2 linked regions of the Macaca fascicularis genome follow. The protein of the gene in region 1 purifies or fractionates together with the protein of each later gene. This does not show direct contact. Links are inferred from orthologs where the notes say so. Each region holds a gene or a part of one and is shown on either strand. Other genes may lie near its edges.

The links.
Region 2: the proteins of MAP3K1 (region 1) and AXIN1 purify together in Homo sapiens (affinity purification with western blotting; 5 studies listed by BioGRID and IntAct, with this or other methods). This does not show direct contact. The link is inferred for Macaca fascicularis from reciprocal best matches to the Homo sapiens genes MAP3K1 and AXIN1.

What each region holds. Positions count from the first base shown.
Region 1 is NC_088380.1:62,329,054-62,333,579, reverse strand, and holds the end of MAP3K1 (mitogen-activated protein kinase kinase kinase 1), read right to left. Parts: intron 3,309-4,526; coding exon 3,159-3,308; 3' UTR 671-3,158; downstream 1-670. UniProt on the Homo sapiens protein: Component of a protein kinase signal transduction cascade. Activates the ERK and JNK kinase pathways by phosphorylation of MAP2K1 and MAP2K4. May phosphorylate the MAPK8/JNK1 kinase.
Region 2 is NC_088394.1:1,039,782-1,044,289, reverse strand, and holds the end of AXIN1 (axin-1), read left to right. Parts: coding exon 1-85; intron 86-1,629; coding exon 1,630-1,797; intron 1,798-3,004; coding exon 3,005-3,131; 3' UTR 3,132-3,796; downstream 3,797-4,508. Other genes in the region: PDIA2 (protein disulfide-isomerase A2), read right to left, coding at 4,118-4,162, 4,285-4,395, 4,492-4,508. UniProt on the Homo sapiens protein: Component of the beta-catenin destruction complex required for regulating CTNNB1 levels through phosphorylation and ubiquitination, and modulating Wnt-signaling.

The sequences.
Region 1 (4,526 bases):
AATAAATGGGAGAAGGGAAAGCTCTTCTTTGCAGCAAAATGCTGCAAAGAAGTGAAGGAACTAGATCACCATCTGGCAACCATCAGAGTAATATATTCAGGCAAAAAAGCTTAAGAGCAGAGAGTTAAAACTGGGCAAGAAACGTGATATTTATGTAGTCTCAAATATCGCCCCTAAATACTTTCAATTATAAAGGTGGATTTTAATTATAAAAGGAAAGAGTAACTATACAGTGTTACTATCAGTTATCACCAGTGACGGGGCAAACGACCTGTCTGCATCCTGACATGACACACCGAGAGGAGCACAGCATCACCTGTGATGTTCCTGCCAAAAGTGTGTACTCTGAATCTAATTAAGAAGCAGCACCAGACAAACTCAATTTGAGGGGCTTCTATAAAATAATAATCTGAAATCTTTAAAAAATTAAGGCCATTAAGGTCAAGGAAGAACTAAGAATGGCCCTGGATTCAATGAGACTGAAGAAACATGACAACTGAGAGCAACTTGTGATCCTGGTTTGGATCCTCTTGCTATAAAGGACATAAATGGGCAGCTGGCGAAACCTGACTAGGGTCTTTGGGTGAAGGGTATACAGAAGTTCTCTGTGGTATTCTTGCAACTTTTATATAAGTATGAAATTATTTCAAAATAAATAAAAGTAACAACATTTGTTCAAAAACTTTTATTTACTATAAAGACAAAAACACCAAAATAGGTACAAATACTATAAAATCGGTTCAATGGGGTAAAAATTTTAATTAAAATATCTCAATATATTTAAAATAACAAAGGATACATTTAAGCCAAATTTTCTTAACCCAGAGATTTTTTTTTTTTTTTTTTGTAACATTTGCTTACACAGTAAGGTGCTAATAGAAGTTAGCCCTTAAGCCCTGGAAATCTTAGGAATCATAGTCACACAGCAAATATAATTTCATTGTGAAAGTGAACTTTGGTAGAAGAAAAATCTATAGGACACCTGAGGTAGTAGAAACTGGAATAAACAGTAGTAGACGTTATTTACAACTTGAGTACCAAATAACATTAAGAACACAAAAATAATTACACGATACAATTTCCAGTCCAGCTTTGATCCAAAGAAAATAAGAATATTACATCACATTTGCATTGAAAACAAAACAAAAAACAAAATGCCACAATTACCAGCAAGCTGAGGGAACTGCAAACAAACTCAAACACAATGGATTTTGAAATCTACAGATAGTTTGAGTTTGAAATGTGGTGGGCATGGTGATCTACAAAGTAATACTGATTAGCTGAGGTTCCTCAGTTTATACAGTTTACATTTTTGTCAGACACAGTATTCATCTGACCAATGATCTTCCAGTACATAAAATGGCAAGAGTGCATCCTTTAAAGCTTGCACATGAGAGACTTGGAAACAATCTTATTAGAATTGTGGAAATTCTAAGTAGTCAAAAAATAAAAAATAAAAAAAAAAAACACAAAATAAAACAGAAAGTCAAGTACAACACATTTAGAGCTACCAAACTTCACATTTCTGTACTATTTTTAACTCTTCAAATATCGCCAATCTTCCAAAACAAAGGAATGTAAAATTTCACTAAGAAACATATTCACATAAAAAACAAACTGCCTTTTAAAAATTATAAGCAATATATCCCTGTAAACTTATCTTGTAACTTATTGTATTTCCAATTTGTGTTGTACATTTTAAATGTACTCTATATAGCTTATTTAGTTTATCCTGAGTCTTTGAGAATAACCAATTCTATTTCACACTGGCTTCTGAAGAGTTAAAACTAAAATCTCAAAAGTTGTATTTAATAGTTAATCAGTATTTGATTTAAAAGACTCACACACACACAAAAAGATTAAAAAGCTACCATTTTCCTTCAGGATTCCATGCATCTGAATTTAACTCCAGACTAAAACCATTAGGTAACTGTGCAAAATCCAAGGAATTAGTGTATAAATGAAATTCAATTCCACTTTTCTTTCTGAACACATTTTCCAAGTTCAAAGCAAATGTATTCTTAAAAAACATTACTGATTGGTAGTTGAATAATCTTTTTTAAAAATGATCTGCCAGGCCTACTGTAAAGAGATGATGCATGGTAAAAGGAAAATGGCAGTCATATGTTATTACCAGTAGTGAAGGTGAATGATGGATTGTTACATACAGAATAAGACTTAAATGTTGTGAAGTTTCCTACAGTTTGACAACCAAAACATCTTAAAAAATTCAAATAAATTTTAAGGTAATCTTGATCTTCGTTGTGAGTTGCATCACAGAGGACAGTTAATTTTTAGTTTATATTTAACCTGCACAATAAAAGTGGTGACTGACTCAAATGTAGGTAGTACTTTATTGTATTCCAATATAAAAAACAAAATTAAGTCTGTATTTTAAAAACTTTTACAATAGCAAGATATTTAATGAACTCTTGTTCATACCTAGTTTTTTTTTTTTTTTTTTTTTTTCTGGTTTGAAAAAAAAGATCACCTTTCCCTGAATAAACAAAAATGAATGTAAATAAAAATGAAAATACAAAACCATAATTTCCAAAAACGAAATGAATGGGCCAACAGTAAAATGCACAATGAGCCACAATTGCCCAGGTGTTTAAGAAAATAAAGGCCAACTGTGGGTCATAAAGAAGTATCAACTTTTAAAAATATATGTATGTAATGCTACTCATAGCATATTCTGACCTAAAAGAGGCAGATACTGATTTTATAGCCAGTGACAAAAAATCTGAACGGAATTGTAGAACCCCCGCTTGTGATCACTATATGAAATGGAAGAATAATTCAAATATTAAAATAGATTCTGAGCCCCTCAGCCGCTAATATTGCTGAAAAAGTGCCCCAAAAAAATAAAATTATGCTTCTGCAATTTAGTCATGCAAACTTCACTGTCTTCCTGTTCACCTAGGCCAGTTCTTTGAAAGGCACGGTTTACAATTTCTGCACTAGTTGTGGGCTTTTGCATACTGAGCTTAGGTAAAGATCATGATTTGTCAATCACATACTTAGGTAAGGGTTCCCCACTGGCCTCGTTCATAGCTGTTCAGTGGCATCATGGCCAGTAGAATATCAATGTGGTTCCCCAAAAGTTTTTTTCTCTTGTTGAGCATCCTGTTTCTATTGTAGTTGATCTGCATAACTGGCTACCACGTAGTACGAAAGACTGGATGCTTTAGTAGCTCTCTTGATGGAGGCCTGTCCTGAGGTTGAAGTTCTAAACAACGAAGAGCCACATCTCGTAAGCCGGGAGACAAATGTGAAGGGATCGATGGAGCAGTCGTTGCACTAGCAATCTGTGGAGAAAAAGCCAGAGTGTTGAAGCTTTGCACGACTGGAACTTCTGATACACAAGCACATGTGCATCGACCTCATAACCCTTACATTTACATCCTGAACAGAGAGAAATGAAGCAGAAGTGGGAGGATTTTCTGTTATCAAAAAGTCTATAAAGATTCATCCACCGGATGGGAGGTTTTCTCTAACAGTCTTTCAACTTTTAGGATTTTAGGATTTGATCAAATATATCCTATTCCTTATTATTTAAATCAACAAGGCTAAGTACATCAAAATGTTCAGGTGAAGTATTCACTCAAATGGATTCTGCTGTCCTCATAGTCTCCAAGATGGTTTGTTCTCACTGCACGTTTTCTATTTCTTCAGCAGAGAGAGCTATTTAGATTAAGAAAGACTAAAACTGAAGAGTCAATTTAATACATAGAAAACACAACTGCATTGTTTTTTTCCTTCCATGTTGGACAAATTCTGATTCTTAGTATCAAATACACTATGAAGAATGATTTTATAAAAAAGTTTTCAGTCTGACTACTTTAAACTCACCTACCCACTCCTAATCACAAGAAAACTCTTTCTTTTCTCTATCCCAGTAATTTCATAAATGCTTTGGGTTAAAAAAATGCAAAATAATATAAAGAAAATTCCTCTAAGGTCTGTGATCCTGTATCACAATATACTCAGCTGATATATACACATCTTACACACCACAAAAAGGAAAAATACAAAACAAAAAATTAAAGTCCCTCTTCCTTCTCCCCAAATGTAACTTACTGTTGACGATTTGTGTGTGTGTGTGTGTTTGTGGAGAAAAAAGGCCAATACATTCACAGACTTAAGATTTTCTAAAATGTCTACAAAAGAGAAAACTTAATTTAGAGACAGGGTCTCTCTCTCACTCTGCCACCCAGGCTGAAGTGCAGTGGTTTGAACACGGCTCACTGCAGCTTTGACCTCCTGGGCCCAAGCGATCCTCCCACCTCAGCCTCCTGAGTACCTGGGAGCACAGGTGGTGCCACTATGCCCAGCTAATTTTTTTTTTTTAATAGAGATGGGGTCTCACTATGCTCAATCTGCTCTCCAACTCCTGGGTTCAAGCTCTGTTCCCACCTCAGCCTCCCGAAATGCTGAGATTACAGGCATGAGCCACTGTACTTGGCCAGGATCACTTTATATACCTTGCTCTTTTCACTTAATAATATAATCTTGTAGCACTTTGT
Region 2 (4,508 bases), on another chromosome or scaffold:
GGGGACGCGCCTGCGTCAGGCCAGCGTGCGCGCCAGTGCTGCGCGTGGTACCAGCCGTGTCGGACATGGAGCTCTCCGAGACAGAGTACGTGCGTCCTGAGGGTCCTCCTGGTCCTGCCCACCCAGCCCAGGCGTCTCAAGCCAGGTCCCATGGTAGAGCTGCCGTCCTGGGGCCTGAGCTCAGGTACCACGCTGAGAAGCAGCTGTGGCAGGAGAGGGTCCCACGGCATCAGACTCCAAGCTGCCCAAGAGCCTTCTCCCGTCTCCATCAGAGGAGATGCTGACTGTCCAGCATGACGATAAGTGACCAACAGGCCCGGCTGGAGGCCTGGGCACAGCCAGCCCTGTATCCACACAGGTGTCATGGGAGGCCCCTTGTGGGGCAGAGACCTACCCCTGCCCCTGGCCCCACCCGGCTTGGAACTGGCTGGTCCCCGCAGACCTGGCTTGAGCAGGGTCGGGGCTGCAGGTGTTGAGGTGCGCGAGGTGCGTCAGCTTGCAGTGTGGGTCTCAACTATGTGCGTCTGTCCAGTCCGTGCAGTCCGTGAGTCAGGGCTCTGCTCCCACCTGCAGTGCTGACCACTCCGAGCCCGTGAGAAAGGCTTACTGTGTCCATACCACGTGATCCCACATGGGCTGTGTCAGTGGCGCCTTTGTGTGCTCAAGGTGGCAGGAGGGGCATATCCCAAAAGGGGCCTTGAGAACAGGGGTCCCCCAGGCCTTACCAGGCTTGCCCCAGATGCAGGTTTGTTGTGGCTGTCATCCTCTAGGGGGTCTTGGAGGGGCCTTCACCCGTCCTTGGGGCAGCCCCCACATGTTGGCTCATTCTCCTATGGGCCTGGCTCCAGGGGGCTGCAAGGATGTGGCTCTGGGAGAAAGTCCAAGAATGCAGGTGGGTGGGGGCCCTGGTGTGCGAAGTGGACGGTCACCTGGCTGAGGTGGCCGTGAGGCCTTCCTGCCATGATGTCGACTCTGGCAGCCTCTAGTGCACGCAGCCAGCAGGAGGCCCGAGGCCTGAACCCCAGTGGGCCAGGGGCAGCTTCTGGAGTCATCTGAGGGACAGGTGGTGGCAGGGGAGCCAAGCAGAGGGTGTGAGTGGAAGCACAGCCCCTGTAAGAGGAGGGCCCAGCTCAGCCTGGGCAGGAGACGGTGCCAGCCCCACCCCCTCTGAAGGGCCTGCTGGCCGCACCCGCAACAGTCCTGGGACAGACTTCACTGTGGGGTCAGGCTCATCCAGAAATCGTGCATAGTTCTGTTTGTCCAATCCCTGCCCTTGAGATGTTTTTAAGGTTTGGGGGCCGTAGGTCTTCCTGGCATAGGAGCCATGCAGCCTGCCCTGCCATCCTAGAGGTGAGAGCTGCAGTGCGCCCAGTGGCCAGGCCCTGTCCAGTCGAGGGTGGGGCTGTGAGGCAGCGGGGAGACCTTTGTGCTGCCAGTGAGTGGAGTCAGACTCCACTGCTGGTGGAGTAGACCCCAGATTGAGATGCTGCGGCGGGGGGGCAGTGGGGCCTGGGGCCCCAGGTGTTTGCAGGCCTGCCCCACCCTTTGCTGGCAGCCTGAGGCCAGCAGGAGGCACCCTGTGGGACCTCAGTCCAAAACCAGGGACCACTGCTGCATCTCTTTCCCCAGGACGAGATCGCAGAGGAAGGCGGGCGGCGGGAGTGCCCAGCCGTGTGACAGCATCGTTGTGGCATACTACTTCTGTGGGGAGCCTATCCCCTACCGCACCCTGGTGAGGGGCCGCGCTGTCACCCTGGGCCAGTTCAAGGAGCTGCTGACCAAAAAGGGCAGCTACAGGTGAGTGTGAGGGCTGGGGTGCCCACTCCCTGCAGGGGTGCGTGGGTGCCCAGCAGTACGAAAAAGAGGGTTTCTAGCCAGGCATGGTGCCTCACTTCTGTAATCCTGGCATTTTGGGAGGCAGAGACCGGCAGATTGCCTGAGCTCAGGAGATCGAGACCAGCCTGGGTAACATGGTGAAATCCTCTCTCTACTAAAAATACAAAAGAAATTAGCCAGGCGTGGTGGCGGGTGCCTGTAATCCCATTTACTTGGGAGGCTGAGGCAGAATTGCTTGAACTCAGGAGACGGAGGTTGCAGTGAGCCGAGATCGCACCACTGCTCCCCAGAACTCCAGCCTGGATGACAGAGCGAGACTCCGTCTCTATCCAAAAAAAAAAAAAAAAAGGCTTTCCGGCTGTTTCAGCTCCTGTCCCTCATCTGCACCTACGCCAGTTCTCCAAGCCCTGGGCTGAGGATGGCCTCAGGCCTTCGGCCCCACAGGACTGAGAGGGTCCCTAAGGGACTCCTTCCAGGGCCCTCAGCTTCGGGGTGAGAAAACAGCCAGAGGCCCAGACAACAATGGTCTGAACCTTGTGTCGGGCTCCCCTGGGCCAGCCTTGTCTCTAGGCTCTGGATTCAGCTCCTTTTGCCCAACTGAAAAGCCAGGCCCCATCCTACCAACGTTCATTGGGCCTGGGCCCCTCAGCCCTGAGGGCCTGCCTGCAGCCAGTCTTGGAGGCTCCTGAGTGAGCACTGGGGGGTGAGCAGAGGGGGCCTGACCACAAGAGCCTGGCAGAGGTGGTTCCCTCTGTCCACAAGCGACTGCAGACACCCGTGGACTGTGTCTGCAGATGTGGTGCTGAGGGAGGGCCCCAGTCGGGGTCACTTCCATGACAGGGCTCAGCCCTTGGGAAGCAGATACCCCACACCCATCCACTTCCCCCCTGCACCTCCTGAGAGGCTGGGGCAGGTACTCCTAGGGGGCTGTAGGGTGCCTCCCAGCAGGCAGTAAACTCACCCCCTGTAGCTGCCACTTCACCCACATGCGGTCATTGCACTGTTCACTGTTGCCCTGGGAGGGGCGCACGTGGTGGGAGTGGTGGGGGCGGTGGGGCATGGACAGGAGGCTCCTGGGGATGGGGGTGTGGACACGCCGTCCCCGCCACAGGCCTCCTCCCATCTGCGGCACTGCCTGCTCACTGTGCTCCTCACCTCCATCCTGCAGATACTACTTCAAGAAAGTGAGCGACGAGTTTGACTGTGGGGTGGTGTTCGAGGAGGTTCGAGAGGATGAGGCCGTCCTGCCCGTCTTTGAGGAGAAGATAATTGGCAAAGTGGAGAAGGTGGACTGACCAGCTGGCGGGCTGACCGCTGCACCAGGCGAGGCCCTCGGTGGGCACAGGTGTCACAGCCAGGCGGATGACCTCGTACTCAGGAGCCCGATAGAGAACAGCGTGGGGGCGCCGCCCACCCCTGCAGTCTGACCGTGTCTGGGTGGGTAGGGGTCCCTCCGCGTGGTCCACAGGCTTCTGTCCTGCCCCCGAGGAGGCAGCCGGACACTCCCCATAGCAATACTTGGAGGGCCTAGCCCAAGTGGGGCAGCCAGGGTCCCTGCTGCCGGCTTCAAGCGACGCCCCGGCGCCTCCCCTGGGCACGTGTGCTGGGATCTGTTTTTCCCTCTGGGATTTGCCCACGTACCCTGGTCTGGCTGGGCGCAGCCCCAGGCCTGGGCGCAGAGGCCTGCAGGGCCTCTGTCAATTGTACTCGCCACCGAGTGCCTTCAACACAGCTTGTCTCTTGCCTGCCACTGTGTGAGCCGGCGACGGGGTACTGCACCTGCCTCCAGCTGCCGGCTGCGCGGTCCCGGGTCCTCCTTTCTGAGGGCCCATGTAAATATGTACATTTCTCAGGCCAGGGCCAGCAGGGGCTGCCCAGGTCTGTTTTTCATGCGATGACACTTGTACAATTATCTTTTCAAAGGTACTTGGATAATAAATAAAACTGTTTTTGAACCTGCCCTGGCTGTGGTGTGTCTGCTGCCAGTGGGGCCTGGCCTGGGTCTCCCAGCCTCAGCCCCTGTGGTTAAGGTCATGCTGGCCTCCAGCAGGCATGGGGGTCGTCCTGTGACTCAGAGGCTGGCCAAGCTAGAGCATGAACGTGCTCCACCTTCCTTCCCAGGAGCCCGCGTCTGGGCAGAGCTGCATCAGGCCAGCCTTGCTGAGGGATCAGGCACACACAGTCCAGAACCAAGCTCTTTATTCACAATGCACAGCTCCCTCCAGCACCCAAGGAGGTGCCCTCCTGTCCAGCGGTGAGGAGGGGAGTGACACGGGGGTAGCTACAGCTCCTCCTTGGACCCCACGGTTGAGTTGGCCCGTGGCTCCTAGAACGGGTCACAAGTACAGCTCGGAGCTCTGCTCCCAGCCTACCCCTGCCCCCGCCCCACCAGCCCCGTGTAAAGACGGTTTGTGCAGAGGCCTGGAGCCCTGGCTTAGGGACACCCACCGGGAACGGGGCTGCCGGCTCCTCCGTGGGCTCCTCCGTGGGCACCGCGCCCCCGTTGTCCAGGAACTTGGACAAGGTCTCCAGGTCCCTGGCGCTTTTATATTCAATCACCTGAGGAGAGGCAGGAGGCTCTGGAGGACAGGCCAGGCCCAGCCCCATGCCCAGGAGGATGGCATCCCAGCTTCCCCAGGCACCTGTCCCCCATACCTTCCGACCTGGCCCTG